4 linked regions of the Struthio camelus genome follow. The protein of the gene in region 3 purifies or fractionates together with the protein of the main gene of each other region. This does not show direct contact. Links are inferred from orthologs where the notes say so. Each region holds a gene or a part of one and is shown on either strand. Other genes may lie near its edges. The genes, in order: UBE2H, STK11, PIP4K2A and AHCYL1.

Evidence for each region.
Region 1: the proteins of PIP4K2A (region 3) and UBE2H purify together in Homo sapiens (affinity purification with mass spectrometry; 3 studies listed by BioGRID and IntAct, with this or other methods). This does not show direct contact. The link is inferred for Struthio camelus from reciprocal best matches to the Homo sapiens genes PIP4K2A and UBE2H.
Region 2: the proteins of PIP4K2A (region 3) and STK11 purify together in Homo sapiens (affinity purification with mass spectrometry; 3 studies listed by BioGRID and IntAct, counting the BioPlex papers as one, with this or other methods). This does not show direct contact. The link is inferred for Struthio camelus from reciprocal best matches to the Homo sapiens genes PIP4K2A and STK11.
Region 4: the proteins of PIP4K2A (region 3) and AHCYL1 purify together in Homo sapiens (co-immunoprecipitation; 3 studies listed by BioGRID and IntAct, counting the BioPlex papers as one, with this or other methods). This does not show direct contact. The link is inferred for Struthio camelus from reciprocal best matches to the Homo sapiens genes PIP4K2A and AHCYL1.

What each region holds. Positions count from the first base shown.
Region 1 is NC_090942.1:1,893,315-1,900,211, forward strand, and holds the start of UBE2H (ubiquitin-conjugating enzyme E2 H), read right to left. Parts: upstream 3,014-6,897; 5' UTR 2,931-3,013; coding exon 2,878-2,930; intron 1-2,877. UniProt on the Homo sapiens protein: Accepts ubiquitin from the E1 complex and catalyzes its covalent attachment to other proteins. E2 ubiquitin conjugating enzyme that transfers ubiquitin to MAEA, a core component of the CTLH E3 ubiquitin-protein ligase complex.
Region 2 is NC_090967.1:7,175,394-7,183,086, forward strand, and holds the start of STK11 (serine/threonine-protein kinase STK11), read right to left. Parts: upstream 3,007-7,693; 5' UTR 2,949-3,006; intron 2,287-2,948; exon of another isoform or gene 2,242-2,286; 5' UTR 1,533-2,241; coding exon 1,243-1,532; intron 1-1,242. UniProt on the Homo sapiens protein: Tumor suppressor serine/threonine-protein kinase that controls the activity of AMP-activated protein kinase (AMPK) family members, thereby playing a role in various processes such as cell metabolism, cell polarity, apoptosis and DNA damage response.
Region 3 is NC_090943.1:21,264,340-21,272,102, reverse strand, and holds the start of PIP4K2A (phosphatidylinositol 5-phosphate 4-kinase type-2 alpha), read right to left. Parts: upstream 3,004-7,763; 5' UTR 2,767-3,003; coding exon 2,626-2,766; intron 1-2,625. UniProt on the Homo sapiens protein: Catalyzes the phosphorylation of phosphatidylinositol 5-phosphate (PtdIns5P) on the fourth hydroxyl of the myo-inositol ring, to form phosphatidylinositol 4,5-bisphosphate (PtdIns(4,5)P2). Has both ATP- and GTP-dependent kinase activities.
Region 4 is NC_090965.1:4,283,046-4,290,949, forward strand, and holds the start of AHCYL1 (S-adenosylhomocysteine hydrolase-like protein 1), read left to right. Parts: upstream 1-4,890; 5' UTR 4,891-4,905; coding exon 4,906-5,175; intron 5,176-6,142; exon of another isoform or gene 6,143-6,260; coding exon of another isoform or gene 6,261-6,338; intron 6,339-7,904. UniProt on the Homo sapiens protein: Multifaceted cellular regulator which coordinates several essential cellular functions including regulation of epithelial HCO3(-) and fluid secretion, mRNA processing and DNA replication.

The sequences.
Region 1 (6,897 bases), on a different chromosome or scaffold from region 3:
CTGGTTTCCGGGTAGTAACAGAGCAGCCAATCCGCGGAGTTGCGAGCTCTGCCCGAGGCCTCTTGCCTGCAAACAGGGCTCGGAGGCCAGCGGCTGGCTCCGAACCGGGATCCCCGGCGTCCCCCCCGGGGGGCAGAGGTGCCCGGGCTCGTGGCAGTGCCCCCGCTGGGTGCGTGCGGCAGGCTGGACCGGGGACTGAGCGCAGCAACCCAGGAAATTTCAGAAATCGGGGAGAGGGATGGCAGCCGCCACCCCCCCCCCCAAAGGAGGGGGGCAACGCAGCGCGGACCCCGGCTGCAGGCCCTTCCCCAACATTCGCACAACGTTGGGAGCACGATCGGGGGGAGAGAGAGAGAGAGAGAGAGAGAGACAATGAGTGACTCAGAGTTTCAGCACATAATCACCCGGGCGATTATTAAACATCGGTTCAACACATTAACACACACGGCTCCCCCCCCCACCAGCCATCCAGGGAGAGAGCCCAAGCAACCTCTCCCCTTCCCTGCTCACAAAGACGCGTCCACAAAAGGACATGGACGTGTTAGGATTGAAAATAGGAATAATAAAAAAGACCCCACTCGGCTCCTAAACCTGTCAGAGCAGGAGAAGGCAGCAGCGTTATTCACTCACAACGTCACCCCCTCCCTATCCAAAAAGGTAGCCCTTGGCAGGCGATAAATCCACGCCATTATTCTAGACTGGAGACATGAAAAGAGGCTGAAAAGGGAAACTGTAACGAAAATGGCAGCAAAAGGGGGGGGGAAAAAAAAAAAAAACCCTACACAACAACAAAACCATCCAGCCCCAGGGAGGAGCAGCCTTCAAGTACATTCCTCCAGACTAGTCCTCTCTCATTTGGTCACCACCAAAACCATCCGTCGCTCCCACGGCTCGCGACAGACCCTTATTTCACATCAGCTCCCAGGCAGGAAGACTCCCAACGTACACGGAGCGAAGCGCCCGGGGAGCCTGGGCCTACAGAGCCGGACTCAGCCTGGGCAGGCTAGACAAGTCGGACGGACAAACAAAAAGGCTCGGGGAGGGAGGAGTGGAGGGAAGAGTCATCTGACATAGACAACTTCCTAAGTTTGTTGTCTGCAGGACACCGACCGCTCTAACCCTCGCCCTCGGACACCAGGGACGCCGCGCTGACAATAACGAGAGCTCTGCTTTTGGAAAACCCTTTGGTTTCTTTTGTCGGTGGCCGGGGGGTGGGGGGGGGGGGAGAGCAGAGCAGAAACCACCCAGCGTTGGGAGGAACGCCAAATATTTGGGGGCTTTCTACCTACCGCCACCGCTAGAGATATAGAACAAGTGAAGCCACTTCAAAAAAAATAAAAAGAAAGAAAAATCCCTGCTCTTTGTCTCCTAAAATGCTGGAATCGCTGGAGATGCCAGCTACTAAATGAACAAAAAAAAAAAAAAAGAGGGGGAGGGGAAAGGAGAGCAGCAGATCAGGTTGGGCCTCGGCCCCTCTTCAGCCCCGTCCTCTTTCGAGACTATGGCTAATGAAGATTTTTTTTTTCCCCCCTGCTAAACAGCTGGAATTCCCAACCCTCCTCCCAGCGCAATTAACCATCGATCGAAATTTGCATTCGGCAGAGTGTGACATGTGCGTAACTTTAAACCTCAGATAAAAATAGCTCGGATTCAACCATGATCGGTAGTCATTTCCTATTTGCTTAAAAAACAACACGAAAATATACCAAGAGCAGCTTTGTACAGAGAAACGCACACGAAACACCGACAGAAGTTTCCTTTGATAAGCCACCCTCACGCCACAAACACGAGCGGTATCGCTCTTCTTTCCCCCCCCCCCCTTTAAAAACACAAAATCCAAGCAAGTTTGTTTATCTCTCTGGGAACTCAATCAGATCTGTTTTACCGACCCCTCAACGCCACACGCAAAGTTAGAGCCACCGTCCCCCCCGAGAGGTTCAACACCTCCAGTAAACAGAGCCGAAAACATTTCGCTTGCTCTTGTCATTTCTACCCACCTCGACACACACCACCGCCTTGTAAGCAATAAATAAATAAATAAATACATAAAAACTATTAATTAAAAAAAAAAAACCAAAACCAATCCTATAGCCAAACCCCCACCGATATTTTCAATACCACCCACACTCCAGACAGAGAGAAAAGGATTTGCCACCCTGCAAAGGGCCAAGAAGAGTGAGGAGGAAAAAAAAACATATATAAATAAATAAATAAATATATATATATATATATAAAAACAGATCTATCAAGGAAGGGGTGGGGGGAAGCCTAGCCCAACCTGGAGCGTTACGTAAACGGGACCGCTCGCAAAACCGGCCGGGGGTCCGGGGCCGCACTGAGCCCGTCTCCCACCCCGCCGCCACGGGCAATCCCAGCAGCACCCTCCAGCCCCCAAAATATTAAAATCCCTAAGCCCAGCACCAGAAGCTTCGTGAACCGCAGGCTGAAACCGAGGAGTAAATAAAGATAAACACCACAAAAGCCTTTCTCTGGGCTGTGGCCGCGGGGGCAGCTTCCCCCCCCCCCTCAAACCCCAAGCAGCTGGGCCGCAGGCCGGGGCAGGAAAGGGGGTGCCAGCCACCAGGCTGCGGCCCTCGCTGGGTTTTTTTTCGGGGGGGGGGGAACCACGGGCTGTCAAACCGGGGAGCCCCCAAACAAGGCTTAGGATGGGGGGGGGGAGGCTTTCCCCACAGTGTGGGGGGGCCTCGGGGGGGGGGGCAGGTCTGACCCCAGGCAGGCAGGGAGGGAGCCCCGGGGAGGGGGCCTGGCCCTGCCGTTGCCCGGGGGGGGGGGGGGAGGGCCGGTGCTGCCCCCCCCCACCCCTCCCCGGTGCAGGCCCGCGGGGCTGTCGGCGGAGGGGTGGTGCGGGAAGGATACAGCTTGACCACGTCGGTGTCCATCCGCCTCTTGCCCGGGCTGGGGGAGGACATGGTGGCCGCGGCCGCCCCCGGTGCTCCGGGCGGGCTGTCAGCGCCGCCGCCGCCGCCGCCCGGGGCCGCCCGGCGCGGAGGGGAGCGGGGGGGGGGGGGCGCCGGGCTCCGAGCCGCTGGGACCCCCCCTCTGCCGCCGCCGCCGCTGCTACTGCTGCTGCTGCTCCTGTCGCCGCCGCCCTCCTGTGGCGGGGCCGCCGCCGCCGCCGCCGCCGCCGCCGCCGCCGCCGCCTCGCGCTCCCGCAGCCGCCGGCCCCGCTCCGCTCCGCTCGCCTCTGCCGGAGCCTCTCTCTGGACTCCTGACGTCACCCACAGTGACCTCACCGCCTCGCCCCGCTGCCATTGGCCGCGCCGCCGCCGTGACGGCAGCGCGCCGGCCCCGCCCGCTCGCCGCGCTCCGCCCCACCGCCTGCCGGGAGTTGTAGTGCGGCAGGGCGGGCTGCCGAAGGCGGAAAGCGAAGGGCGAGGCGGCGGGTTCGAGACCCCGGCGGGGCGACTTGGTTCCCCCCCCCCCCCCCCTCCACCCCCCGCAGCCGCCGCCGCCCCGCGGTGACACCGCCAGCGTAACCTCAGTGCAAAGCACCGCGTCGTCCTTCCCGCTCGCCCACAAGCTGGCCGCACGGCTTTCCCGCTCTCCGGCCACCTTTGGGGCCTGCTGCTGCTGCCACCATCCTTAAAACGCGGGTTGGCCGAACGGCCCCGTCCCTCGGCAGCTCCGGCCGGGTCGCCTCCCGGCAGCAGGGCGACGAGATCCCGCCGTGCCCCCCCCCCCCGCCTCGTGCCCCCGTTTAAATCATTCGCCTTTCAGCTCGTTCGCTCGCGAGGCCCTTTCTGTAGGGCTTTCGCCCGGGCGGCTTCCCAAACGGGCTTTGCGCCCGGGTCCGTAGCACGCTAACGAGGCCTTTCCACTAATGAGGGGAGACGAGGCTTCCAGAGAAGCAGAGCCTCGACGCCGGCGCGCCGCCTCCCGCCGGGGAGCCGCCGCCGGCCTCGGCCCTGTGGCGGGGCCCCGGGGGAGCCATTTTGAGCGTGGCCGGGTGTAAAGCCGGGGAGAGTCGCGCTCGGCGCCCGCGGGGCGGCGGGGACGGTGGTGCCGGCCGTCTCGTCCCGTCCCCTCCTGCCTCAGCCGGCATCACCGAGCTGGCGCCTGGCTCCGGCTCGTCACCTGGGGCGAGGGGGTTTGGGAGGGTCCCCCGTGCCCTGGGTGGCCCCGGCAGGGAAAATGGCTGCCAGGCCGGGTGTGGGGAGCTGTGGGGATTGGGGGAGCCATGGGGAGCTGTGGGGATTGGGGGAGAGCCATGGGGAGCTGTGGAGATTGAGGGAGAGTTGTGGGGAGCTGTGGGGATTGGGGGAGCCATGGGGAGCTGTGGGGATTGGGGGAGCTATGGGGAGCTGTGGGGATTGGGGGAGAGCCATGGGGAGCTGTGGGGAGCTATGGGGAGCTGTGAGGATTGGGGGAGCTGCGAGGATTGGGGGAGCTGCAGGGAGCTGTGGGGATTGGGGAGAGCCATGGGGAGCCATGGGGATTGGGGGAGCCATGGGGAGCTGTGGAGATTGAGGGAGAGTTGTGCGAAGCTGTGGGGATTGGGGGAGCCATGGGGAGCTGTGGGGAACTGTGAGGATTGGGGGAGCTGTGGGGAGCTGTGGGGATTGGGGGAGAGCTGTGGGGAGCCATGAGGATTGGAGGAGCTATGGGGAGCTGTGGGGATTGGGGGAGCCATGGGGAGCTGTGGGGATTGGGGGAGACCTGTGGGGAGCCATGAGGACTGGGGAGCTATGGGGAGCTGTGGGGATTGGGGAGAGCCATGGGGAGCCATGGGGATTGGGGGAGCCATGGGGAGCTGTGGGGATTGAGGGAAAGCCATGCGGAGCCATGGGGATTGGGGGAGCTATGGGGAGCTGTGGGGAGCTGTGGAGACTGGGGGAGAGTTGTGGGGAGCTGTGGGGAGCTTTGAGGATTGGGGAGCTATGGGGAGCTGTGGGGATTGGGGGAGCCATGGGGAGCCATGGGGAGCTGTGAGGGTTGGGGGAGAGCTGTGGGGAGCCATGGGGATTGGGGGAGACCTGTGGGGAGCTGTGGGGATTGGGGGAAAGCTGTGGGGAGCTGTGGGGATTGGAGGAGCTATGGGGAGCTGTGAGGATTGGGGGAGCTGTGGGGAGCTGTGAGGATTGGGGGAGACCTGTGGGGAGCTGTGGGGATTGGGGGAGCCATGGGGAGCTGTGAGGATTGGGGGAGAGCTGTGGGGAGCCATGGGGATTGGGGGAGCCATGGGGACTGTGAGGAGCCACGAGGATAGGGGGAGCCATGGGGAGCTGTGGGGAGCCATAGGGATTGGGGGAGCTGTGGAGAGTTGAGAGGAGCCATGAAGATTGGGGGAGCCATGGGGAGCTGTAGGGATTGGGGGAGCTGTGGGGAGCTGTGGGGATTAGGGGAGCCATGGGGAGCTATGGGAAGCTGTGGGGATTGGGGGAGCTGGAGGAGCCACGGTGACGGGTGGGAGCTGTGGGGAGGGGGGGGGAATCCATGGGGAATTGTAGGAGGCAAGGGGAGTCATGGGGAGCAGAGGGAGATAGGGCAGACAGTTGGGGAAGGGGCTCCTCCATGCCCTGCCCTCTGGGGCAAGGTGGAGACACCCTGTGCAGGTGGGACACCCAGAGCCAGGGTGAGGACACCACGGACAGGTGGGACACCCAGAGCTAGGTTGAGGGTACCCTGGGCAGGTGGGACACCCAGAGCTAGGATGAGGGCACCCTGGCCAGGTGGGACACCCAGGGCAAGGTGGAGACAGCCAGAGCCAGGGTAAGGGCACCCAGGGCAGGGGTGCACGTGTGAGAGAGGGAGACCAGGAATGCCGGCCCGTGCGTTTGTGTGTGGGCACGTAGCATCTTCGTGCTGGGCCCCTCTCGCAGCGGGGTGCCCTGGGGCCCTGAGCGTCTCGTGGCTGTATCTTGTCCCGTGGCCCCATGTGATCCCCCAGGGCTAAGCCTGCTCTACCTCCGTTCCCGACAACTCCTGGGCCACGGCAACCAGGGGGTGAAGGCACTCCTCGTTAGGCCGTGTCCCATGGGTGTCGTGGGGCTGCGGCAGAGGTGATGCCATGCCCAGGCACCCCAGGCACCGGCCCCTTCCTTGGTGCTGCTGCCTGCTTTTCCCCTGCACCGTTGCCAACGGTGCCATGACCAGCCTCCGACTGATTACGACATCCATGTTTTTCAGTGCTGGGCACCCAAATGGCCTGGCCCTGCCCAGCCTGCAGGCTAATGTCACACCGCCTTCTGAAGTCAAAGCGGCAGAGGAGCATGATGGAGTGCCCTGCATCTGGAGAGGAAGGGCCACAGCAGCATTTCCCGGGGAGCGGTGCAATTGGGTCTTTCTCACAAAAGGAAGACAAACTACCCTGATGCAAACCACCCTCTCGCCCCATCAGGCCTGCACCAGAGCCTCGCTCGCCCCAGCACCCAGCCAGGACACGACGCAGCGAGGGATGGCGGTAGTGACTCCCTGCTGCAGGGAACAGAGGCTCCCATCTGCCAACATGACCTGTCATCAAGAGAGGTTTGCCGCTTGCTGGGGGCTCGGATCCGGGATGTTACAGAGAGGCTGACGAGGCTTGTCCAACTCTTGGGACAATTACCCCTGCTGCTCTTCCAGGTGGCACCAACGATACTGCCAAAGGCAGCTTGGGACGTATCGAACATGACTACAGAGCACTGGGGGCAGTGGTCAGCGGTATGGGGCCTGGGTGTTTTTCTCCTCAATCCTGCCAGTGAGGGAAAGAGTGTGAGGAGGAGTGGACTGATGCTGCAAGTCCACAGTTGGCTGCACAGCTGGCCCAACCAGGTTTCGGCTTCTGGGACCACGGGACCCTGTTTGAAGACAGCTGTCTACTTGGGAGAGATGGGATCCCCCTCACCAAGCAGGGCAAAAGCATCTTTGCCAACAGGCTGGGCGACCTGGTAAGGAGGG
Region 2 (7,693 bases), on a different chromosome or scaffold from region 3:
CCCCTGCATGAAAGACTTGTTGCTATTCTGTAGCTAAGCGTGTCCACTGAAGGTTAAAAGGGAAACTTAAACAGCTAGCTGACAGAAGTCCCAGTACAGGATGTGAAATATCTTGCAGCTGAGCTCGGAAACTCAAACCAAACTGAGAAACAGAAACAAGACTCTACTAGGTCAGGGCTCTACACTCAGCACACCACAGCGAAAGACGTAATACAAGAGTCTTCTAAACATCTCATAAGTTTTCCCTCCCACTATAAGATAAACTGTCACAAATAATTTGTTTTGGCTGCAGAAGGCTCCCCTTCACACCAGATAAACAACTCTATCTTGCTGGGCTGTAACAAACAGCTTGCTGTGGAAAACACAGCTGGCTGTTAGGTCCTCACATGTAGGGCACAACACCAAGAAAAGGGAAAGTTTCAGATAATAACAACTCTTACAAATGAGGCATAACACCAGGCTTCTCCCCGCAGTATATTTTAATTAGTTACTTGTGCACTGACTAATCAGTATGTAACTGGCACTTGAAATACCTTCCAAGCACAAATCTTGAGTCACTGAAAAGAAGAGCTTGACAACCCTTGTCCCCATTTTACAGCTGGAGAAATCAACTGAAAAGAGCCTTGAATTACTTCCCAAACTCATTAATTAGAAGTGAAACCAAGAATAAAACCCAAGACTTCCTATGCCCATTGGGTGCATAATACACTGGATCATGCATTCCAGGCACTTATTTCATGGGTGGTAGCAATAATTACCACCCTAAAGAGCTTAAGAACCACACACACACTTATATGGATACACAATAAGAGAGAGCAACAATACAAAGTGTATTTCTGCACTCTCAGCTATACCATCCCTCATCTTTCTTAGTTGAGTTCACTACAAACACCAGTTTTCAATGCATCTTTGACATGAAATTTTAGAAACAGAGATTCTCTCTTACTTTGTAATGAAACTAAGAAAGGGCATGTGTTATATACTCTTCTGTTCAAGGGGACAGATGCGCTTCCCATGCCCTTGAGAATAAGCTTCCTCTCACTGTTGGGCAGCATTTAGAAGCACCCTTCACCTTACAGTTGGCTGTGTTTCAACGGTAAAGAGATTCCTGAGTACATATGGTTTAGAAAGCACTTCCAGAACACAAAGCTGTCATTATTTTAAATGATAGAGAACATCAGTTGGAAAGTAACGATAAAATTTAACTCCCTGGATTCCCAGCTACTGGAAATATTTACTCACTTTTTCACATTTGCCTCCCCATTGGGAATTCTGCGTAGCTTCTTCTTCTTCAGTATTTTGACAGCTCTCCTACAGAGGGTTTCAGAGTCCAACATCTCCTTGACTTTGCCATAAGACCCTTCTCCAAGTAAGTCTCCCATTAGGTATTTGCCAATGAGCTTGGCCCTTTTCCGCCGTGGCTGGTAGATGACCTCCGTGGAGTCGATGCGATGGATAAAAGTGTCCATCCCCACAGACATCAGCTCACTCTCTGCAAACATACCCAACTGCTGTGGCTCCTGCATATCCATCCTGGATTAAGTTCCTTAACCTGTTTTCCTTAAGCGCTCAGGGTTTTAATCCTGTTTGTTAGTTTCCAACACTCCCTTTTACTCCTTCTTGAAAAAAAATATCCAGAAGATTGTACAAACATGAATAAAAAAACAAAACAAAAAATTACTATGAGCTGCTTCCAGCTCAGTTGGATGCTAAAAGATCCAGGCCTGGCTCCAGTAACACAATGTCTCTTAAAAAGAATATATCCTTGACCAGATACACTCAGTTTGGGATTTGCTTTACTTCTGACCTGGTCCCACCACTAGGGTTCCTTCAAGTCAGCTTGGCCTTTAACTTGGCCCAGTTTGATTTTTAAGTGCTAGGTCATCCTCTGGGACTTTAGGTCACCACATAAAAACAGACAACAGCCAAGTCTCTTTCATGACTTTCCATTACTAGCAGATCATAGCCACCAACTCCAAACTGTGAATCGCAGGGGAAGCGTTTCTGCCCTGCTGCCCTCACCTTCCAGGTACAAGTATAGAAGATTTTTTTTTCAGCCGTTTGGAAGCTGGAACCAAGTTTCTTTGAAGGAGTTTTCAGAATCAATTCTAATTTCTTCACTTTTCACGCCTACAAAAGTTTGAGGCCTTCGGTGCCTATCAAGATCTCCCAGGGGCATCCTTCAACCACTCGGATTCCGCCTGACACATGATGTGTCTCCACCACTGGTCCAGGTGTCAGCTGGTGTCAGACAATGCAAAACCTACTAGAGCTTTACTGACCCACCTTAAAACAGGAACAACCAGGAAGAAGTAATTCTCTCTGTCCAGTACCCAAAACACCCCATTCCCTGTCCAACAAAGGAAGGTCAATGAGGAGATGCTAACCTTGCCTGGGCTTTTCTCCCCCTCTGCAAGCCCCTTCCACAGGTGTCAGTCGGGGGGGGGGGGGGGGAAAGAGAGGAAAATGAGCAATATTGTACCCACCCCTTCAGAAAGTGGGGGAAGGGGATAAACCACTCACAGTGCAACCAAGCCACCACAGGCAGGTCGGAAGGCAGAGAGGGGACCCCGGGGGGGGGGGGGAATGACCTTTGGCTCCTGGCAGGCCGCAGCCAAGCCCCCCCCCACCACAGCAGGGCGCCTGCGGGGGGGGGCCCTCTCGGCAAGGGCCCGTCCCCTGAGGGCCGGGGGTGAGCCCCGGAGGCAGGTTCAGCTGCTCGACTGCGCGCCCCGCTGCCGCCTCTGGGGAAGGGAGGCGGGGGGGGGGGGAAGGGCTGGCGGCCGCGTCCCCCCTCCCCGCAGCCGGGCCTCGGCGGCGGCGGCGCCGCGCTCCCCCCCCCCCCCCGCGCCTCAGGGGGGCCCCGCCGGCCGCTGCCCGCTGCTCTGCCACCGCGGCCCTGCCCCGGGGCCCGCGCCCGCACTCCCGCTGCCGCCACCCCCCGTTACCACCGCCGCCGCCGCCGTAGCGCGCACGCCGCCGCCATTTTGTTTACCTCCCGCCCCCGCCCCGGCCCCGGCCCCCGGCGCGCTCCCGCCGCTGCCCTCCCCCCTCCCTCCGGGGCCTCGCGCCTCCCCGGCGAGCGACGTGCCCCCCCATTGGCCCCACCGCCGGCCCCGCCCCCCCACGCTCGCCCGCTGGTTGGCTGCGGCGGCGCCGCGGGGAGGGGGGCGGGGCCGGCCTCGCGGTTTTCGTTTCCGGTTGGCCCGTGGCGTTTCCAGCCCGCCTACCTACTCCGGCGGGTGGCGGGGCGCTGTGATAGGCCGAAGGGTCTGTCCGTCAGACGCGGGAGGGGACGGAGGGCAAAGGGCAAAGGGCGCAGGGGAAGCGGTGCCATGGCGACGGGGCGCGGGCAGCGCGGCCGGGCCCGGCGGCGCCGCGGGGCTCCCGGGCCGCCTCCGCGGAGCCTCGGGCGGCTCCTGCTGCGCTTCCCGGGCCCTCCGCCGCCTCTGCCCTGTGGTGCCAGCCCAGCCCGGGGGCTCCCCGCACCGCGCCGCCCCCGGCCCCGGCCCGGGCCTGGCTGCGAGGAGCCGGGTCGAGGGTGGAAGGGGGGAGAGCTCCTTCCCCGCGCCCCCCGGGAGCCCTTGGCGACGTGGCGCTGCCCTCTTTTAAGCGCAGCACAAACTCTCCTGCCCAGCCGCGTCTTTCCTGGGAGCCTTTTCCACCCGCTGGCCCGAACGTTTCGTGCTAAATCCGACGCGCGTTCGGCCTGTGCAGGGAATTCAGCCGCAGCAGCTCTCTGGCAGCGGGGATACCCCTTTCCCTCCTCCGGGATAACTGCTGGCCTGTCCACCGTTTCTGCCACCTCGGTCCCCTTTCTCCCTCCGTTCGTCCACACTTCACTGCCTTGTCCATCCCTCTGCTGAAGGCTCCTGACCGGACTGCTACAATCCAGAACGCTTGCGTATTTTGATTAGGATGTTTTGTCCCAACACGTGTATTTCCATGCTCCAGGATAATAACTAACGGATGGCAAATGAAATAGAACGCTGCCTTTTATCTGCGGTCCCTCAGAGGCTGCTGTGCGCAGGGGTAGCTCCAGCGGCCTCCAAGGGGAAGCCAGCTCCGGGCTGGAAGGGTTTAAATCAAGTCTGAAACAAGGTCAGCAGAGTTCACGCTCCTGCTGATCCTAAAACCTGCAGGCAATCTTTACTGCCCATCTTTACAAACACCGCAGTGTCCTTTAGCTATGTGTCCTGTTGTTTGTGCAACAGGGAGAAAGAATATCGTATTTTGAGTCCCTTGTGCTGCTTCTTAAAACACAGGTTAGCCATGGATATCTCCTGTTTTAAGAATCATCTGGCTTGACTCTTGAGGACCGGAGCAGCAAGGGATGTTCCTGCAGCAGGATCAGGTTATGGAAGATGCATTTACTGGGAAACTTACAGAAATCGTTTGTATTTTTCATGCCAGATGCTCCCTCATATACCATCCTGTCCCTTTCACCATTTTCGCACCTTAAAAATACTTATTCGCCTTACTATTTACTGTGTCTCACCAGGAGCGCCTAGAGCTCACCCCGCCGTGGGCCCCCGGGCTCTGGGAGGCGTACCGTACGCTGCGCTAGATAATCCCCAACTGACAGCTTATCTGCTAAATGGATGGGACAGACCAGCGCAGAGGCACAGACTCCTCCACTAGCACAACCAGGCGCAGAAACACGGAGCTAAAGAGTACAACTGAAGTCCTCTGAGACAGGCTCAGATGTACATCGTTTCTGGCAGATGTTTATCTAACTTTTAGAAATCTTCCCACCCTCCCCGCATATCTTACATCAGTGCTGAACCCTGTCTATCTTTAGGCTGATTTTTCCTAAGATGTAATCCAAGCCTTCTTGAGGCAATAGATTCCACAGTTCCTCTGTTTTTTTACTTTCTCTGTCATTGCTGGATGCAGTATCCCGCTCCGGCTAGTGCATTTGTACTACATGCTTTAGAAAGCTTTTTTTGACAGCTGTCCTTATTTTGTGTTTGCTGTCTGGCACTTTTTAAACAAGGTTTAGATAGCTACAGGCAGGCACACAAATTTCTCAAAATCATCCATGATCTGGATTCTCCACTAAAGTCTCCGTGTTAAATTTGTTCTTCTCTGCTCGTATTTTAGCAGGAACATCTACACCCGGGACAAGCACGGAGCCACAACCCTGCCCTCTCCTGGGCTGAGCTCACAAAACCGCCAAGCGGGTCTGTGCGGAAAGCAGCGCGGCCTGCGCTGCTCCGTGGCATCGCTGCGTTCCCGTCAGCAGAGCGGCACCCAGCAGGGACGGAGCATCTTCGGGGTCGGTTTTCAAAGGCTGCTATTTGTCTGACCTTCCTTCCAGCTGCTGCTGTTTGCTTTTGGTCAGCAGGTTACCGAAGGAGGAAGAAACTGGAGAGAATTCCCTTCTTTGACAAGCAAAATAGTTTCATTTGAATAAATTGTGATTTTCCTTATTTTATTATACATTTTGCATTAACTGATATTTTACACCCTTGCTCTGAAAGTGATTTGATTACATGGGAATCTACTTCTATTAAAAAGTGAAAATAGACTGCTAGCCCTTGTGGTCATGCACTAGAGCTTGAAAAAGCTAGAAAAATAGGAGGGCAATTACAGGAATCCCTGCTGTAGTAGTTCTGGAAAGAGTTGGACTTTCTTTAAGGCCATCTGAGGATTTGGGCACCGGCAGCATTTCCTCCTCACCCTGAGCGAGACGACCCTGGCACGGGCAGGGGCAGGATGGGGCGATGCCCTGGGCACTGCAACGCGCTAGAAGCCAGGATGGGGCCGGATGAGACCGAGCAGCTGCCAGAGCGTCCTCCAAAGGAGCGCCGCGGCTCCCCGGCAGCTCCGGGCGGGAGCTGGCACGGCAGGGAGAGGCCCTGGGAACACTGCGACTTCCCTGGTGGGGGATTCTCTAGTGTCTGATAAGGGTTGAACCTACCCTGCTGCTTTCCCCCGCCGAGGGGCGCTAGGAGAACCCCCTCCGTGGGCTCCTCCAGCCACACTGCTCGCCCGTGGCAGGGTCCCCGCGGCCGGCCTGTCCGCCCCGGCAGCCCCGTGCGTCCGCCCTGGCACGGGCCTCGTTCCAGCAGGCGGCAGTGCGAGCGTGTGGACGGAGGGATGCACGGACGGACACGGACGCTAGTCCTGGGGGGGTGTCACAGGCGAGCTCCCGGCTGGACACGGTGGTGTTTCCTAGTGGCTGGGGAGAGGGGAGACAAAAACAGTATGCCAACAGGTAAAAAGCTGCTGCAAGAGGAGAAAAACTGTTTTCCACATGCAACGCAGGGCGAGGGGTCCCGGGCTCGGGCTGCCACGAGGGAGAGGGAGGCACCGGTGGCAGCGGGGAGGCAGCCTGGAGGGGCACCGCCGGGAAACGAGGGGCGGCTGAGCTCCCCGCACAGCTCGGCCCCGGGGCAGGCAAACTCCTCCCGGGGAACGGCACGAGCAGGGGGGAGGCAGCGCCCGGCCAGGATGCCGCTGCCACCGCCTCCCCTCAGCCCAGGCTGCGCCAGGGTTTGCTCCGCGCCTGCGGCAGCCCCTCGCCACGCCGGGTCCTGCGGGAAGACGTTAGCGAGGGAACAGCCGATCGCTCGCATTGATCAGCGGTAGGTTGGCACAGTGGGAAACTGCACAGCCCGTTTCAAATGCACGCAGAGGAACCAAGATGTTTGCAGCTGCAGCTTCCTCCCAGGCCTTGCTGCACACTCATATTAGAGATTAAAAAAAGCCCTTTAGCGACACGATGGACCCAGGCTCAGCTGGGATCACGCGCTCAGGGTAGTACCTCCAGTTCAGCAGTTACTCCAAGGAGGGACCAGACAAATCCCTGAGTGCTGCCTTTTTGCAAGAGCTATTGGCACCACATGGGGCGAGGAGCGCAAGCCAGAGAGCCCCGAGCCCCCCCTCGGGGCCCGAGCGGTGCCGCAGCACGTCCTCCCAGCTAAGGGCCGCAGTGGCAGCTCCAGCCGGGCTCCCCAAAGGCTCCGCAGGGCTGGGGCAGAGCGATGCCCGCGTCTCGCCCCGGCCCCGCTGCTGGCTGTCGGGGGACGAGGTGTCCCGCACGGCAAAGGCGGGAGAGGGCCGGGGAGGGAGGGCTGGCCGCAGGAGCCGGCTGCCCCGCTTCCCCCCGCTCCCTCCCCAGCTGTTCTCACGGCAGCACCCAGCCACATGTGATTTACTTCGATCTTGGCACTGAGTCCAAAGTGCTGGAAAGTGATCACCCAAATTCTGGTAAGCGCTGTGCTTCCCCTTCCCGAGGGGGCCGGGTTCCCAGCAGCCGAGGGCAGGATCGATTGGAAACCGTCCACGGCAGAGAAACCCGGGCGGGAGGCAGCTCCCCCATCGCTTCGGCTGCCGCTCGGTTGCATCAGCCACACTCTGCTCCCCCCGGCCCCGCTCCCCTCCCCGCGGGCGGTGGGAAAACAGGCTTCCCCAGAGGCAAAATCATCCCTCCCGCTGGAAACGGGCAGGGGGATTGGGACAAGCCGGGTGTCCCTGTAGGCCTGCCCCCAGCACTGTCCCTCACTGGGGGTCTCACAGACACATCAGCTCCCTGCAGCGACTGCGCCGGCAGCTTCGCCTCTGCACAGGTCGGTCTGCTCAGCCGGTTCCCGCAGGAGCCAAGGGGCATTGGGCTGAGACCTGCAAAATTCACTGCATGCAGGCCTCCACAAAGCCACTGCTCAGCCACCTCCACCCCGCTTGTCTC
Region 3 (7,763 bases):
AAGTCTGCTTTCCTTTTAGATCTTCACCAAGAGCTTTCCTCCAGTATATGTCATATTGTGCCAAAAATATGGGAACTGCATCTCATATTTGGCTTCGTAGGAATAGGAGACTGCTACTTCCTTGTTAATTGACATGCATGACAGTGGATAGTAAACTTCAATAAATTTTTTTTTCAGCTTACTACTATGCTCTAAGTTTATTAGATTACTATCATCATGAACTATGTTCATGCTCATTTCCTAGTCTAACATTTTATGGATTTCTGTTTATTCTGCTAAGAAAATATAAGCATCCTTAACCCCCATTGTTAATCAATCCATGCATGTACTTTGTATTTCTCCCATGATAAATTCTTATCTTTGACAACAGAGCCTGCTGCAATTAGACTAACTGCTCATTTTTATTTGCCGGACAAATCCTGAAGTGCTGGCACATCAGACATTACATGCCTGAAATGCCTACACATCAGGTATTGCAAACCAACAGTGTAAGCAGCTTTTTCCTCTAACAGAGGAGCCCGCAACACTTAAATGCTGTATTCTTAGCTAAGAAGAGATATTTAGATTATGACACATCAGACTGGGCACCACTGAAGCCAAACTTATTTTTCATGCACTCTGGTTCAAAGTATTATTCATGATTACATCTTGCAGCATGGTAAAGAAATTAAAGAGTATCTAGTTTATCTGAACCTACTTTATTACTAAGCTTTCTCTTTGACCCTCCCCCCATCAGAATTTTAAGTTACGACTTTTAGTTTTATGCACGTGAACCAGTTTGCTTCTTCCTTACACTTTGTAATCAAAACAGTTATATACTCTGTAGTAGCATATGAGCTTAGGAGTTACCACAGTGTCGTGTTTGTTACTATTTACTTTGTTATTAGACACAGTACCAGGTAGACAGCACAGCTCTTTCCTCTGAAAGTAGCAGTATTTCCAGAATGAACATTATGTAGCAACTAGCTGTTGCAACAGGATGATGTGTATTCTTGTCAGAGGCTCTCTTTCCTTCTTTCCCCCTGTATCCCAGAGAGACCACTGATAACTTGCTCACTGTTCAAGACCTAGCTTTACATTATCCATCAGAAGTATCTTACCCTGTAATTACCAGGTTGATTACTTTCACTGAAGAAACCTATTTTGAAGTTTTTCTATGAAAAACACCAGCCATTAAGTTCTATCTTTCTTTGTCCCACTAAAGAAGAAGTAGAAAAAACTTCTGCATTTAAGTCCAATTCTGGCAAATAGCATATCACAGACTTTCACAGTTGAGAGATTTTTTTTTATTTAGAAGAAAAATATCTGGTTTCTGATCAGTTCATGACACAGAACGCCACTGGTTACAACTAATCTACAGGAAACTTTGAAACAAGTTCTGTGCCATAATTTTCACCCGTCTCACAGCACTATCTTAAGTGGACTATTTAACCTCTCTAGGACTTATTTTCTGTCATTGATACTGCATTGACACCTACAGCTAAAGCATTTCCCCCTACATCATTACTTCAGGTATTGTGCTGCCTCACCCAGATTTAACAGCGATTAGACTTGATGCAGGACTTCAGGTTCGGGGCTAAAACAACTATATGTACACAAAGAAAAACAAATAGGATTCCGAGGTGTAGGAAACAGAAGGAATGCAGAGTTTGATGCCAAGGACTACTTTGTCTATTTTATAAAGCTGTCAAAAAAAAAATTGTAGTCTAAAACTGCAAACAACAATTATTCTTAGAAGCTCTTAAGTACCAATTGCTAGCAATGCTATTCATGTAAAAACATTTGGAAGTACAGACTTTGCACCATTAAGAAACCAGAAGAAGTTTTTGGCTTAACTGCCCTGATATGTGACTTTAGGTGATCTTTGGGCTCTACACTTGTAACCTACTATGGTAGCTATATAAAGATGTAAAGCTGTGACTTGAGCCTCATAATGCCCAAACCATGTGACACCCTCATTACTAGGCTCCTAATTTAACACTTAACCAGCAACAGTTCAGTGTTGCCGCATCTAGTTAAATTGAATCCTTTGGAGATATAGCAGCACATCATCTGCAGAGTGATATAGCACTCAGCAAAGGCTGCAATTCTGTTGTAATTCTGCTGCTTTACCACACCAAAAAGGAGCCCTCTTCCCCTCCCCTAAACGCACAAAACCATCAAGAGACACTTGCAAACAGCACTGAAGACAGCAAAAACTTCAGTAGTTAAGCGCTAATAACGCCGTCCCCCCCCCTTCTTTCTGCAACCGCAGTACGTTTATGCAATGCTCGCCGTGCCTGCTCCCGCGTTTCTGGAGGAGCAGCACCGTCGCCTCCCGGACACCACCCTTACGCGTCCTGCCGACCGTTTAAACGGCCGGCACCGCCGATTCAATAAGACGGCGGCCGCCGCGGGCCCGGCCGCGCTGCCGCCTCGCCGCAGCCGGCCGCCTCCGCCGCGGGGGCCACAAACTTCCCGGGCTCCGCCGGCTGCCGCGCCGCCGCCCCGGGCGCGAGCGGGTAACGGCCGCGCCGCCGCCCGCGCGGTGACATTCGCCGCCACCGCCCCCCCCCCCGCCGGCGCCTCACGCAGCGCCCCGGCCCCGGCGGGCAGCGGCGGCCGCGCTCCGCTGGCGGCGCTTACCGAGTGGTTGACCCCCCACATGAGGACGCTGAGCAGCGGGTCGCTAGCCCGGAACAACTTCACTTTTTGCGCCACGAAGTGCTTTTTCTTGGTCTTGGTTTTACTCGCCATGACGGGCACGATGTTGCTGGGGGCCGCCATGGCGCAGCCGGCGGGGCGGGGGGAGGCTGAGGGGAGAGCGGCGAGGGAGGGAGGGAGGGAGGGAGGGAGGGAAAGGGGCGAGTCAGCGCCCCAGCCGCGCGGGGAGGGGCGCGCGGGGAGGGAGCGAGGAGGCGGCGGCGCGAGGCGGGGGCGGCGGGCGGGCGGCGGCGCAAGCTGCCGCGCGCATCCCGGCCTGGCCGCCTGCGCCGCGCGCTGAAATGGCCCCGCTCGCGCGCCACGGCCCCGCCTCCTCCCCCCCCTCGGGGGAGCCGCCGCTGCCGCCACCGCCCGCCCGCCACGCACCGCCCCGCCCCCAGAGCCGGCGCGGGAACGCCTCGGACTTTTGGGTCTTGCGGCCTCACTGCGCATGCCCGGGGGAAGTGTATGGGGGGGGGGATGGGGGCTGGCGCCTGCGCGCCCGCCGCCGCGAAGTCGGCGCTCTGACGGGGCGAGCACCAGGGAAAGGGCAAAAAAAAAAAAACACACCTCAGAAATAAGGGGAGGAGGGGAGAAAGGAAGTGGGACGAGTGCGAAAGGACGCAGAGGGAAAGGGGATGAGGTGGGGAAGGGGGAGGTGAGGGAGCGCCCCCGCTCCCCGCTGAGGGGCCGTTGGAGACGGAGCGCCGAGAAGCGCCCGGGGCCCAAGGCTAACGCGGCGCCCGGGGAGAAGGAGGTTCTGCTCCCCGTCGCCCACCCCTGTTTCCTTCCTGTCGAGCAGTCTCAAGAGTCAAAATTAGTCAACTCTGCCCTCACGCTGTTACTTCCAAATCCACTTGGAAACAAAACCTGGGATCGCCTTAATCTTTATCCAGCTGATGGTACACGTTGTTACTCTGTGCAGCTTTTGCAATATTTATTCAACTTTTTAATTTTTTGTTAGAGGTCTAGGAGTGAAAAGGGCATTCTGCAGCAGAACACTGCCAGCTGTTTCACGGCCTAGCTCCAACCTATGAACTGAGATCTATTATTTTTACTCAGTGTACAGCAAAAACTGAAAACTCAGTCTCTTAGGGACTCCATATCGAAGTTTCTTTGTTCTTTAAAGATATTACACCCATATAAGCTGTGCTCACCTAATCATACCCAATTAGAACATTTTGTAACTGCCTCTATGACCACACAGGATGTGGTCAGTGATAGGCTGACATCCTGCCAAGGCACATCTGCCCAACTTAGGAAGAAACGTTAATACACTTTTCTTCATTGTATAGTGCCTTAATGACAACTCCAGTCACTATTTTGAGTCAATACACCTGGATAACAAAGTATATATATCTTCTGCACATGAATCATCCATCAAATTCTGAATCATACAAACTGACCTGACTGTTGTAGTTCTTGCTTTATTCATCGGCTGTTCATTCAGCAAAGCCAGCAGATCTTGAGGGAGCTGTAAGAGCAAGGCTACTCCATGAGGGTGGGCAAACCAGGAGCTGAAGATGGCCCCAGGGCAGATAGTGCCCTCACTGACAGGACACAGTCTCACAGAGCCTGAACACCATGGACACAGCCAGCCACTGGTAACAGCACTCATCAAGAGTCCAAGACAAGGTGATGTGATGGACCAGGTCCAGAGTCCATCCAGAGAGTCCAGTCAGGAGCAAAAGGAGCCAGGGCCAAAGATAAAGCTACAATAGAGATACAAGATACATCAGCAGACAGCATGGCCAGAGACAAGCTACCTATAGCATAGGTCCAAGGTACATCCGGGAGACAGGGCTGGAGATAGGTACACCTACAGCATAGCTCAGTCAAGGACCTGAACTTAGCCCAAAACGTGAACTCCACCCAGGCCTGAACGTAAGTGAAGCTCCTTGGCCCAAGGGGAGAGGGTGTGAGTGGGGGCTCCAGATGAAGCTGGTTAGGGCAACTAAGGTGCACTCAGAGCCATGACACATACTTACACAGATGCTCATAAATTTAGAGGCTTGCACCATGTTGAGTGTCTCATCCTCTGTTTCTCTTTGGCCTCCATGATCTCAATATGAAAGTTATCTATCATGCTGGAATCCAAATTTTTCGTGTTTAATCTCCCTCCTTCTGCATAGAAGCAGTTATTAGAATTTATTACATGGTCTCTTTTCTGCGTCTTATGGAGACTAGGGGAAAGAGAGATGATATGTTTCATTCCTCGTGTTTTTTTTAAAGCAAGAAGTTATCTAGTAGTTAAAGAGAGTGTCTCAACTGTAATTTTTGTTCTTGAAAAAGGATTCAGCAAGAAGAAAAATTCAGTTTTTTCCACTGCCGTCAATGGAAGCAGCTGAATACACAGCACCTCTGAATAAAAGCAGGTCGCTTAGATGCCTAAATATAGATTGGAAGTCAGATTTTCAGAATAGATCAGTACCCATTTTATTCCTTACATTATGCTTAGAACATGACACCTGAGCATCTTAAAATGGTGCGCACATCAACATGACTAGCATTTGTCACATGTTTGTCTTTCACCTTCTTTCCAGAAGAAATCCACATAGTGAAGCCTTTGGGTTTATAAATACATGATATACAATAAGCATTTTGGTAGCTTTATTATAAAGGAGGCAAGGCTTAAGAAGGAAAACGTTCTTTTTTTCCAGAGGACTTTCTTGTCATCTTGGCCTAGATTCTGAAGAGCTCCTTCCTGCGGTTCTGAAGCCCTAGCAGGGAGGGTTCTGTTTTATCAGAGGAACAGATGTTGACCATAACTTTTACTACAGAGTTAAAATAAATCAATGGCCTGGGCTTCTTCAAGACAAGGTCTGAGGCACAGATTCATCTTCTCCAATTTTAGGCACCTGATACTCAAGTTAGAAGCCTGATCAATCTCACCTTCTTTTACAGTCAGTGGAGAAATCAGGGGGCAGCCACAGATTTGAGGCACGCAGTATGGGGGCCTAAGTTTGCCAGGCCGTTGTAAATCACCAGCTCCTACCTTAGCATTCTGTTGGCACAGCCTCCTTAAACTTCTGAGGACGGGATGGCTCCCTGTACCTGTATGTCCCACTGTCCCAGGGCTTCCATCAAGGCCGTGATGCACCTGCAGATGGACAGAGTGACTGTCAGAAGAGAGAAAAGCTGATTACTCTTGCAGCTTACACTTCTCTTTGGCAATTCCTTTCTGGCCATGCTCCAAGTGTAGCTCCACAGCCTCTCTTTCCATCAACTATAACCATAATCCTTCCCCTCCCAGAGGCTGAGCCTGGGACCGGAAAGCCCCCAGCCAGCACCCACACCAAAAGATCGTGCAGCTGAGTTCTCTTTGCAGCCCAGCCTTTTCTTTGGCAGTCCCTTCCCAGCCCTGCCTCCAGCTGAAGCTTTAGGTTGTCTCTATCTCTGAATACTAACCTTAAACCCAGCCATATGCTGAGCCTTAGTCCAGGATCCCCAAGTAGTGTCCACGATAAAATCTTCTCTCTGCCACTAACCCTAACTTTAACTGGTGACTGAACATCACACCTCACCCCCTAGGCAGTGTCGACGCCCAAAATTTCCCCTTGCCAAGTTCTCCTTGCAGCCTCTCCTTTTCTTTCAAAGCCTCTTTCTAGGTCCCCTCCAACTGGACCTCTACGCTCCCCCTTTCTCCAGCCCTAACAATAAACCTAACCATATCTTGAGTTTTATCCCAGGCCCCCATTTCAGTGCCCGCACCAAAAAGTTACGAGAGCTAAGTTCTCCTTGCAGCTCACCCTTTCTTTCAGCAACCCCTTCCTAGCCCCGTGTTCACTGGAGCTCTAGTCTCTCTTTTTCTCTTACCTTTAACCTTTACCTTAACCCTAAAAACAAACCCATCCAAAGTCTGAGCCTTGTTCCAGGTCTTGCCAGGCAGTGCCCAGTGCCCACACCACAGAGTTCTGGCAGCCAAGTTCTCCTTACATCCTACACTTAAAATTAGCAATTCCTTCCCAATTCCACTGCAGCTGGAGCTCCTGGCTCTCTCTTTCTCTCAGTCCTAACCCTAACCATATGCTGAGCCGCAGACCAGGATCCTCAAGCAATCCCCACAACAAAAAGTTTTCAAAACCAAGTTATCCTTGCACCTCACCCTTTCTTTTCAAAGTACCTTTCTAGCCCTACTCCAACTACATCACTAGTCTCTTTCTTTCTCTGAATCCTAACCTTAACCCTAACTGGAGTCTCCGCCTTATCCTAGGACCCCAAGCAGTGCCCACACCAAGTTCCTGCAGCCGAGTTCTTGCTTCCAACACTTCCCTTCAAAACCCCTTTCTAGACCCCCTCCAAGTTCATCTCTAGGTTCTCTCTTTCTCCCAACCCTAACAAGAAACCTAACTGAAGACAAAGCCTTGGGCCACACCTTCCCAGGCAGGGCCTGCACCAAAAAGTTTTCATAGCCAAATTCCTGTAACCTACACTTCCAATCAGCAGGAGTTTCCCAGCTGCTCTCCAGCTGACGCTCTTAAACTCTGTTTTTCCTTAGTCTTAATCCCAATCTTAACCACATGCTGAACCTTTGACCAGGACACCCAGGCAATGCCCACAACAAAGTGTTCTCTCTGTGACATTCTTTTTATATTACACACTTTTCTTTGGGAGTCCCTTTCAAGGCCCCCTCCAGCTGGAGCTCTTGGCTCTCTCTTCTCAACTTTAACCCTAAACATAACCACAGGGTGAACCTTGTGTCAGGACACCAAGCCAACACCCACACCAAAAATTTTCCCCTGTTGATTTCTCTCTGCAGCCCACCCTTTCTCTTGGAAGCCCCTTTCTAGCCCCACTCCAGCTGCAGCAATAGGCTTTCTCTTTCTCTGCACCCTAATGCTAACTGAAGCCTAACCCTTAGCGGAGGCTGAGCCTTGGACAAAGGCCCCTAGCCAGTGCCCACAGCAAAAAGTTTTTACAGCCAAGTTCACTTCACAGCCTACACTTCCCTGTGGTAGTCCCTTTCTAGCCCTGCTCCAAGTGGAGCTCTAGGCTCTCTTTCTGTCAACCCTAATCCTAACCATATGCAGAGCCTCAGGCCAGGCCCGTATCCAGCGCTCACACCAAAAAGTTCTTGCAGA
Region 4 (7,904 bases), on a different chromosome or scaffold from region 3:
TGCTGCTATGCGTGTGGTTGTGTGTGCTGCTGTGTGCACTGGTTGTGTGTGCGTGCTGCTATGCGTGTGGTTGTGCGTGCTGCTGTGTGCACCGGTTGCACGTGTGTGTGTTGCTATGTGTGTGGTTGTGCGTGCTGCTGTGTGCACCAGTTGTGTGTGCATGGTGCTGTGCGTGGGGTTGTGCGTGCCACTGTGCGCACCGGTTGTGTGTGCATGGTGCTGTGCATGTGGTTGTGCGTGCTGCTGTGTGCACCGGTTGTGTGTGTGTGTGTGTGTGTTGCTATGTGTGCGGTTGTGCGTGCTGCTGTGTGCACCGGTTGCACATGTGTGTGTTGCTATGTGTGCGGTTGTGCGTGCTGCTGTGTGCGCCGGTTGTGTGTGTGTGTGTGCGCACTGCTACGCGCGTGTGTGTGCGTGTGTCCCCGCGTGCCCCGGCTGTGTGTGCGTGTCCCCGTGTCACCGGGCGCGTGTCCCCGCGTGTCCCCGCTGCCCCGCCTGCCGCCCGTCCGTTGGTTTGCGCTCCTCTTCCCGCGTCGGTTGCAATCTCTTTTCCCGGTTCCCCGTTTCCCTCCCGCCTCACCCCAAACCCGGCTCCCTCCCGCCGCCAGGGGGCGCCGCCGCGCCGCCGCCCGGCCCCGGCGTGCGGCTTCGCTGCCAGGCGGCTGCGTGCTGACGTCAGGGCGCGCTGACGTCGCGGCGGCGGGCAGCTCCGCCCCTGGCGCCGAGCGCGGCGGCTGCAGGTCCGCGCCGCAGAGTGGTCGGAGCCGGCGGCACCGGAGCGGGCCGGGCCGGGCCGGGTCGAGCCGAGCCGAGCCGAGCCGGGCCGGGCCGGGCCGGGCCCAGCGCTGTGCCCCTCCCCGCCCCTCCGCTCCGCGCCCGGCGCCGCTCGCGGCCCCGGCCCGCCTCGCCGCCGCAGGATGTCGGTACCGGACTCGGCCGGCGGCGACGAGGTGAAGCAGGCCAAGGAGATCGAGGACGCCGAGAAGTACTCCTTCATGGCCACCGTCACCAAGGCGCCCAAGAAGGTACCGGCGGGCAGCATCGGGGCCGGCCCGGTTCGGGGCGGGGGGGAGCGGGGTCCGTGGCGGGCCGGGGCCGGTTCGGGGCCGGGGAGCGGGGTCCGTGGCGGGCCGGGGCCGGTTCGGGGCCGGGGAGCGGGGGCCGTGGCGGGCCGGGGCCGGGGAGGGGAGGATGGGTAGCAGGGTCTGTCGCGGGCCGGGGAGCGGGGTCTGTCCTGGTTCATGGGGGAGCAGGGCCAGGGCTTTCCCAGTTCAAGGTGGCCAGGCCATGGTGCTGGCCCACTTCTTAGGGGGGCTGGACTGGGAAACAGGGGGCTGGTCCAGTTGGGAAGAGGGTACTGGGAAAGGGGCACCTAGTGCAGCTTGAGGGTTTTGGAAAGAGGGACCTGACCCCATTCAACAGGGGAGAGAGAAGCAGGTACCAGGTTCAGAGGGGGCTGCTACCAGGAAACCATGTTTGGCCCCATTTGGGGCTCAGCTGGTACCAGAAAGGGGCTCTTGGCCCAGTTTGAGGGGGGCAGACTCGGTGCTGAGGGGCCTGTACTGGGATACGGCCCTGGCCCAGTTTGGGTCAGGGGAGGTGCTGATGGGGGACCGGTACCAGCGGCGTGGGGAGCCGTGGCCCGGTGTGGCGTGGCCTCATCTGGAAGGTGCTGGGGTCAGCCCTGGTAGGGCAGCTGGTACCAGGGTGAGGGCAGCACCAATGGGTCCTGTTCAGCACCGTGGAGCTGGGCTGGCTGAATCGAGGGAGGAGCAGAGGGGCTGGTTTGGTGGGGTCCTGGGCACCCCACGGCGTGAGGGTGCCTCGAGGGTGTCCCCAGGGCAGGAGTGCAGGTGGAAGGGGGCTGGGGGGACCCATTAAATGGAGCGAGCTGGCTGCGGTGACCTGGGGATCCTCCTGTAGGTCACCCTGAAGGGCAGCAATAGGAAATTCAGAGCATTGAACTTTTGGGGACGGGGCGCTTCGTTGGAGGCTTGGGTGGGATCATGTTTGGGCTGGGACAGAGGCTGCCAGAGCAGCCCCCAGCTCTGAGCTCTCCCACGTCGCTTCTTCACCCTTTCATCCTTAAAGACCTTCTCCAAGGAGTTCCCAAAATCTCCCTGGGCTGCCCCCCAGCCAACAGCAGCCCTGCTTGCATAACCGTCAGCGTGCACCCGGATGGGGCTTGCGAGCAGGTGAGCTCTGCCTGCGAAGTCGGATGGCTGTTTTAGCAGGACCCGGCTTTTAGATCGGCTGGTGCTTGGCCGGCCGAGAGCGAGCGGACGCCTGCGTGCCGTTGCCTAGCTGGGCGCCGAGCTTCACTAACGGGCCGCTGAAGTCGCGGCTCCTGCCAGCGCGGTGGATTTGTGCCGCGAGGCGCCGCGCGGGTACCCGGAGGTCCCTGCCGTGCCGAACATTGCGTTCTCCCCGGGGCTGCAGCCGCGTGCCTCGGAGCTGGGAGCCGAGGGCAGAGCAGTCGCAGCGAATGCAAATGTCTTCCTTCTCCGGGCGATGCGTCTTTTGCTCCGGCGAGCCGTGGGATTAGGGGAGCGGTAGGCCCTTGTGGAAAGGCCGCTGACAGTCGGCTGCGTTTGGGTTCTCTCTCCTCGTCCCGGCTTTCGGGCTGGCGCGCGGCCGCCAGGGAGCGGAGGGCCTGGTGGGTCTCCCTGCGCCTTGCGTGTGTTTATCCGGCCTGTGGACGTCGCCTGGAGCAAGGAGCAGAGGAATGCGGAGCTGGGATCTGCCTCTTCCCAGAGGTGGCTCGGCGGCACAGCCAGACATGGCTCAAACTCGGGCGATTTTTTTTTTCTTTCCTTTTTATCGTCAACATCTTCCACAAGAGCTGTTTAGTTAAAAGCGCGAGTCTATGGCTGTGTGAACATTACCAGCCAGGTGATTTGAGAAGGAAGAGCGAACTACTACTGCTCAAGTATCTTACAGGGCCAAAATACAAGTAGCAGAAGGGAAAGCAACGTGCGTGTGGAGAGGGAATCAGTCCAGCACCCTCATGGGCTTTGCTCGTATCTGTGGGGATAAGGGGTGTTGCATTACCCCCTTGAAGTTGCTGTGCTTACAGGCTTGTTTCACAGCCGAAGAGCAACCATCAGACTGTGGCTGCTGCAGCCTTTCCCGTCTGGGTGATGCTATTAAAGGTGCCCAGAGCAACGCAAGTTGTTTGAGGTTGATAACATCAGCAGGCAGTGCGATCTTGGGGAGTGCGCGATGCAGCTGAGGTCAAGGAACAAAACGCTTTGGGCCGCTGTTTTCCTTGCCTGGCTAGTTACTGTGAATAGCGCTCAGTCAGTGCGGCGGCCTTGGCAGGGGAACGAAAGGACGAGGAGGGGAGAACTGCCCTCCTGAGATAAGCTGCTGAGTGCCCCCAGCACAAGGCGTTTTCCTATGTCTTCAAAGCAGGATCACCGTGAAACCCTTAAAATGCTCTTTTTGTTTAAATGTGAGTCAAAGTGACTTGCGCACTTGCTGTGTTTCTGTCTTTGAAGCACTCCGCGCGGTCAGAGATGGTCGAGACAGATTAGTTTACCTGCGTGGAGGTAGAGGGAATCGCGGAGCGCTGTTGAAGCAGCGTCCCGGCTCGGTGTTTGGTTCCTTGAACTTTGGCGATGTAGTTTGCATAAGGCTTTGGAGATGGAGGGAACGCGTCCAAGGTTAGCGCAGGCTCGGCTCCTTTGTGTGCCCTGCTCAATAGCTTTTCAAAGAAGAGCCTTAACTTGTGTCAGCGCTTGCAGAAAGTGCCAGTGCGCTGCAGAGGAGCTGGCGCGAGGAGCCCGTGAGTGTCCCGTGTTCGGCGCCGGGGAGCTGATGCTGTGGTTTCCCGAAGTCAGAGCCCAGCTCGGCCCTAGAGGAAGGTCTCCGATGTAGCCGGAGGGCACGCTGGCCCCGTGCGTCCTCTGAAGAAGTCACCGTGCTCCTGGCCTTTGCTACACTGCCCTGGAGGCACCTGGAGCGATCCTGTGAGCTACGTAACCAGCCCGGGGGATCTCTGACATATTTATTTTCCCTCTTGTCATTGACTTGGTTAAGGTGAAAAAGTGAAACAGCAGGAGGTAAGAGATTAAGAGATTAAACGCGATCAACTCCGGGTTTAAGTAGGAGCCAAAGTAGTTGAGGGGAAGAGAGCTGTAGCCTTTCTGCAGAAATGTGGTCAGTTTTCCTCCAGGAGTTGGGGTTGTCTGGCTGTGCCGAAGCTCCCTTTTTGCTGCAGTTTACTGGAAATTGGGCTGTCAGCAAAATAACACCAGCTTTGGTCAGAGTGAGGCGGTTCCTTGGCAGAGAGTGGTTTGAAGGCAGAGGTGAGCGATATTGAGCCTTTTACTTTCTCCAGTGTGTGCCTAGATGTTGCTGGGGGATTTTGGAAACCAGCAATTTTGGGGTGCCTTGCCCAGGGAGAAGTGAATATGGGTTCGTCTAAGCAGGGAAAGGAGAGCTCAAGGGCAGGGTGTGCTCTTCTAGATCCCCGGGTCCCATCACCAGTGCATCTGGGCATCGGTTCTTCTGTCTCCCTGGAGTTCTGGAGGTGCCCTTGGATTTGGAAAGCAACTGCTGTCAAATCAGCCGGTCAGCGGAGCCTTTAAACTCCCGGCCGAGCTGAGCTACGTGTGCCCTAGAGCGGGGCGCGATGTGACACTGTGCCTAGAGACTGATGGCAGAGCAAAGGGGCTTTACAAGCCCTGTCCCTGTCTGTCACTGTGCCCGAGCCGGGCTGTACCCTTGTCGCGTGGCGTCCGCTGTCCCGTGAGATTGGATGACGGTGTCAAAGCAGAGGGAGCGCGCAATGTCTGTCCGGACTGTGGTCCCCTGGTGCGTGCCCCCCTCCTCGCCTGCTCCTTCGCACCTGGGTGCCGGCAGACGGACGTGCTCCGGCTCTGCACACCGATCTGCTTATTCATGCAGCAGAGCTGGAGCGTGAAATGGGCTCCAGCCTCTAATTTGCCCTCGGGGAGGCGTAAGCTTCGCGGCACCCCCGTGTGCCTCGCGAAGCCGGCAAGCCCGTCGCCTGCGTTTCAGTATGGTTCGCGGCCGGGGGCCAAACGGCGCGGGCTCTGCGGGTTTGGTCGCCGCGACCCTGCGGATGCTGGCGTCAGAGGAGCCCCGCTGAGGCTGTGTGCTGGCGGTGCAGAGGAGAATGCTAATGCACCGTGCTGCGGCTTTGCAGTGGTACCGAGCCGGAGCCGCGTGCTGGCGGATGCAGGGGTGGCACGAGATGGGAGCAGGGGAAGGGGACGGGGCAGGGAAAAGCTGGGGAGCTGACAGGAGGATTGCCATCCTCTGGAAAGGGCTTGCCGCCTTCCCCAAAGCATCATCTCTGCTGCTGCTTTTTAAGGTCGCCTGCATGAGCTGCACTCTCGCTGCCTGAGCAGTGTCTGACCTTGCTGCAGTCTGCTCTGTCCCTGCTCCTTGCACAGCCCCTTCCTGGAGCTGGGCTTTCTGCCTTTTTTTTCTTAGTCCCAGGTTGTCTCAGGTCTCTGCGGTTCTGCTCTCTCAGGCAGGGTGCTAATGAGTCTATCTTTGCCTTAGATCTGTCAGGAGGACAAGGTTGTCCTTGTTTATTCTGACAGAGCTTCTAGAGTTGCTTATTTTTTTCTCTTTTTTATTTCATCCCTTAAGCGGACAGACTGCTTGTAAATCTTCCTCTGCCTTTGGGTGCTTGTCCCACCATCTCCTTGCTTGGTTGCTTAGTGGTGCATGTGATTGTCACCTCCTTACCCAAATCCTCTATGGTATTTTGATTTCTCACCCTCTTCTCGTCTCCCTGCAGGTTTTCCTTTTGACAATGAGCTGCTTAGGCTGGGATGTTGTTAAGGGATCATTCTGCTCTTCACACACCATCTGGGATAGATCTGGCCTTTCTTGGGGTGCAAAAAGGCAGTAATATGTGAACGCATTGCTGCGGTTAGATGATCAGCTCAAGCCTGACCTGATTGTATCCCTAACCCATGGCGAGTGCAACCCACAAGGGTGTTTTGAGCTAAGATGATTTACTTTGCAATTGCTGGGCGCTGGAAGCAGACAGGTCATTGGTGGTGCTGTGTTAAATGACCAAATCTTAATTATTTATGTTTTAAGTCATTCTTCCCCTTGGGTCCTTCTCAGCACTCTGACTTCTTGGAGAGTCTCGCTGCTGTCAGTAAGGGAGGTCTGTCCCTGTGACCCAGCCCTGCTGCAAGACCAAAAGATGCTGATTTAAGTTCTCCTTGAACTGAAGAGCAGGAAGAAAGGAGCTTTTGGGGATCTGACCGAAAATGAGCCATCTTCAAAATGACGTGCCATGGCAAATGGTTTTTTGCATCTCTGTTCTCCTCCTCCTGCAGTCGCATGAGGTAGGCTCGGTTTCCACTCTGATGTCTGGTCTTTGGAGATAGGAAAGGAGTTGGCTACTCATTCCCTGTAGTCTTCAGAAGCAGCTCTTGTCTTGTTTTAGTGGTGCCAGCTGCAGTTGTGTGGGAGTTGGGGTCAGCCCATCTGAACAGTGCTGGTTGTCCTACTTGCCCCATTCCATTTCCAGTCTGGGCTTTGAGATTTCTTGGTGGAAATCTCCTTTCCATGTGAGCCGCCAGGTCTGGAGCATGGGAAGTGGGCTGATGACAGAAGAGTGGTGTTTTCTTGAGGCCTTTCCCAAAATGTGAGATTGTCTTGTGCCAGGGACCAGCCTATAACAATACTTTCTTTGGGACCCTGACAGTTTTCACCATTCTTCTTTTCCAGCCTGTGCAAATGTTGGAGTCTGTTCTGTGCTCCCTGCTACAGGTTGTGCTTTGAGGTTGGTTTTTTTGCTCTGGAAAAAGCCCTTCAGGGCTGGGTTGGAGTTGACCCTTTCAGATAACTGGTTGGCTAAACAGAGAGCTTTGCAGGTGAGGATCTTACTCATGTGGTTCCTCCAAGGGGTCGGCAAGTGGATTGTCCCAGGTGTTTGAGCAAGAGGAAGAGTGGGACTTGCCTGCTCTGAGCAGCACTCAGTGGAGGAGGCTTGCTTGTGCCTGACTGTGTTTTTATCATTAGGAGTTTCCTGTGGCGACGTTCCCGTTTGCAGAAGGCTTGTTGCGTTTCCTGTGGAGCTCTTTGATTAGCGCTGCTTATCTGGGGACTCTGACTCACGTTCACTGAGCAGATTGTGGTGACGTTTGAGGTGACTGTGCTAGAGCCTGCTGCTGGTGCCGTAGAGCAATGGGTGCAAAGGACCTTGAGCTAATGCTTCTGCAATTTATAACCGCTTGGCCCGATCCCCCTTTATCAGTGAGTTAAGGGACCGGATTGGATCAGTGGAAGGCTGGGTCCAGCGTAGGAAGGTCAGGGAGTCCTGCAGAGGAGAGTTGGTGAGGAGGACCATCTTGTTATCACCGCGGTGGGGTACTCCAGAGCCCCTCCATCAAAGCCCTCTACAGTATCTGAACGGCTCTGTCCCACGATTTGGGTCATGTTTATATCTTGACCATCTCCCTTTGATTCAGCCTGTTTTGCACCATACCCCTTTAACCTTGGGCTGAACGTCATCACGACATGCTCCCCCAATGTGGTTAACCCTCAACGGGGCAGGACATGGGGAATGGGTGCTTTTGGATGTCTCAGTGGGTGGTGCAAGCAGAGGGCTGCCGTTTGGGGTGTTTTCTGAGCAGCCCAGGAGGCTGAGGCTGGTGTGTGTCTGGTCTCCTCCCTCGCTGACCCCGGGGGCTCCCTGCCTCTGGGAAAGCGGGACGCGGAAGCTGTGGCTATTCATGCCCTTGGGAGGCCGCCCCGCTTGCCCTGTCGTACTGGGCTGCTTGAACTGTGAATTTTAATTACATTTTGGGATCAATACGGTGGCCTTGGTAACGAGCTTATTGCTGCTGCAGAATCTGTTTACTTCAGGTTGGTGACAGCCAAAGAACTTAGGTGGCCGGGGACGTGAT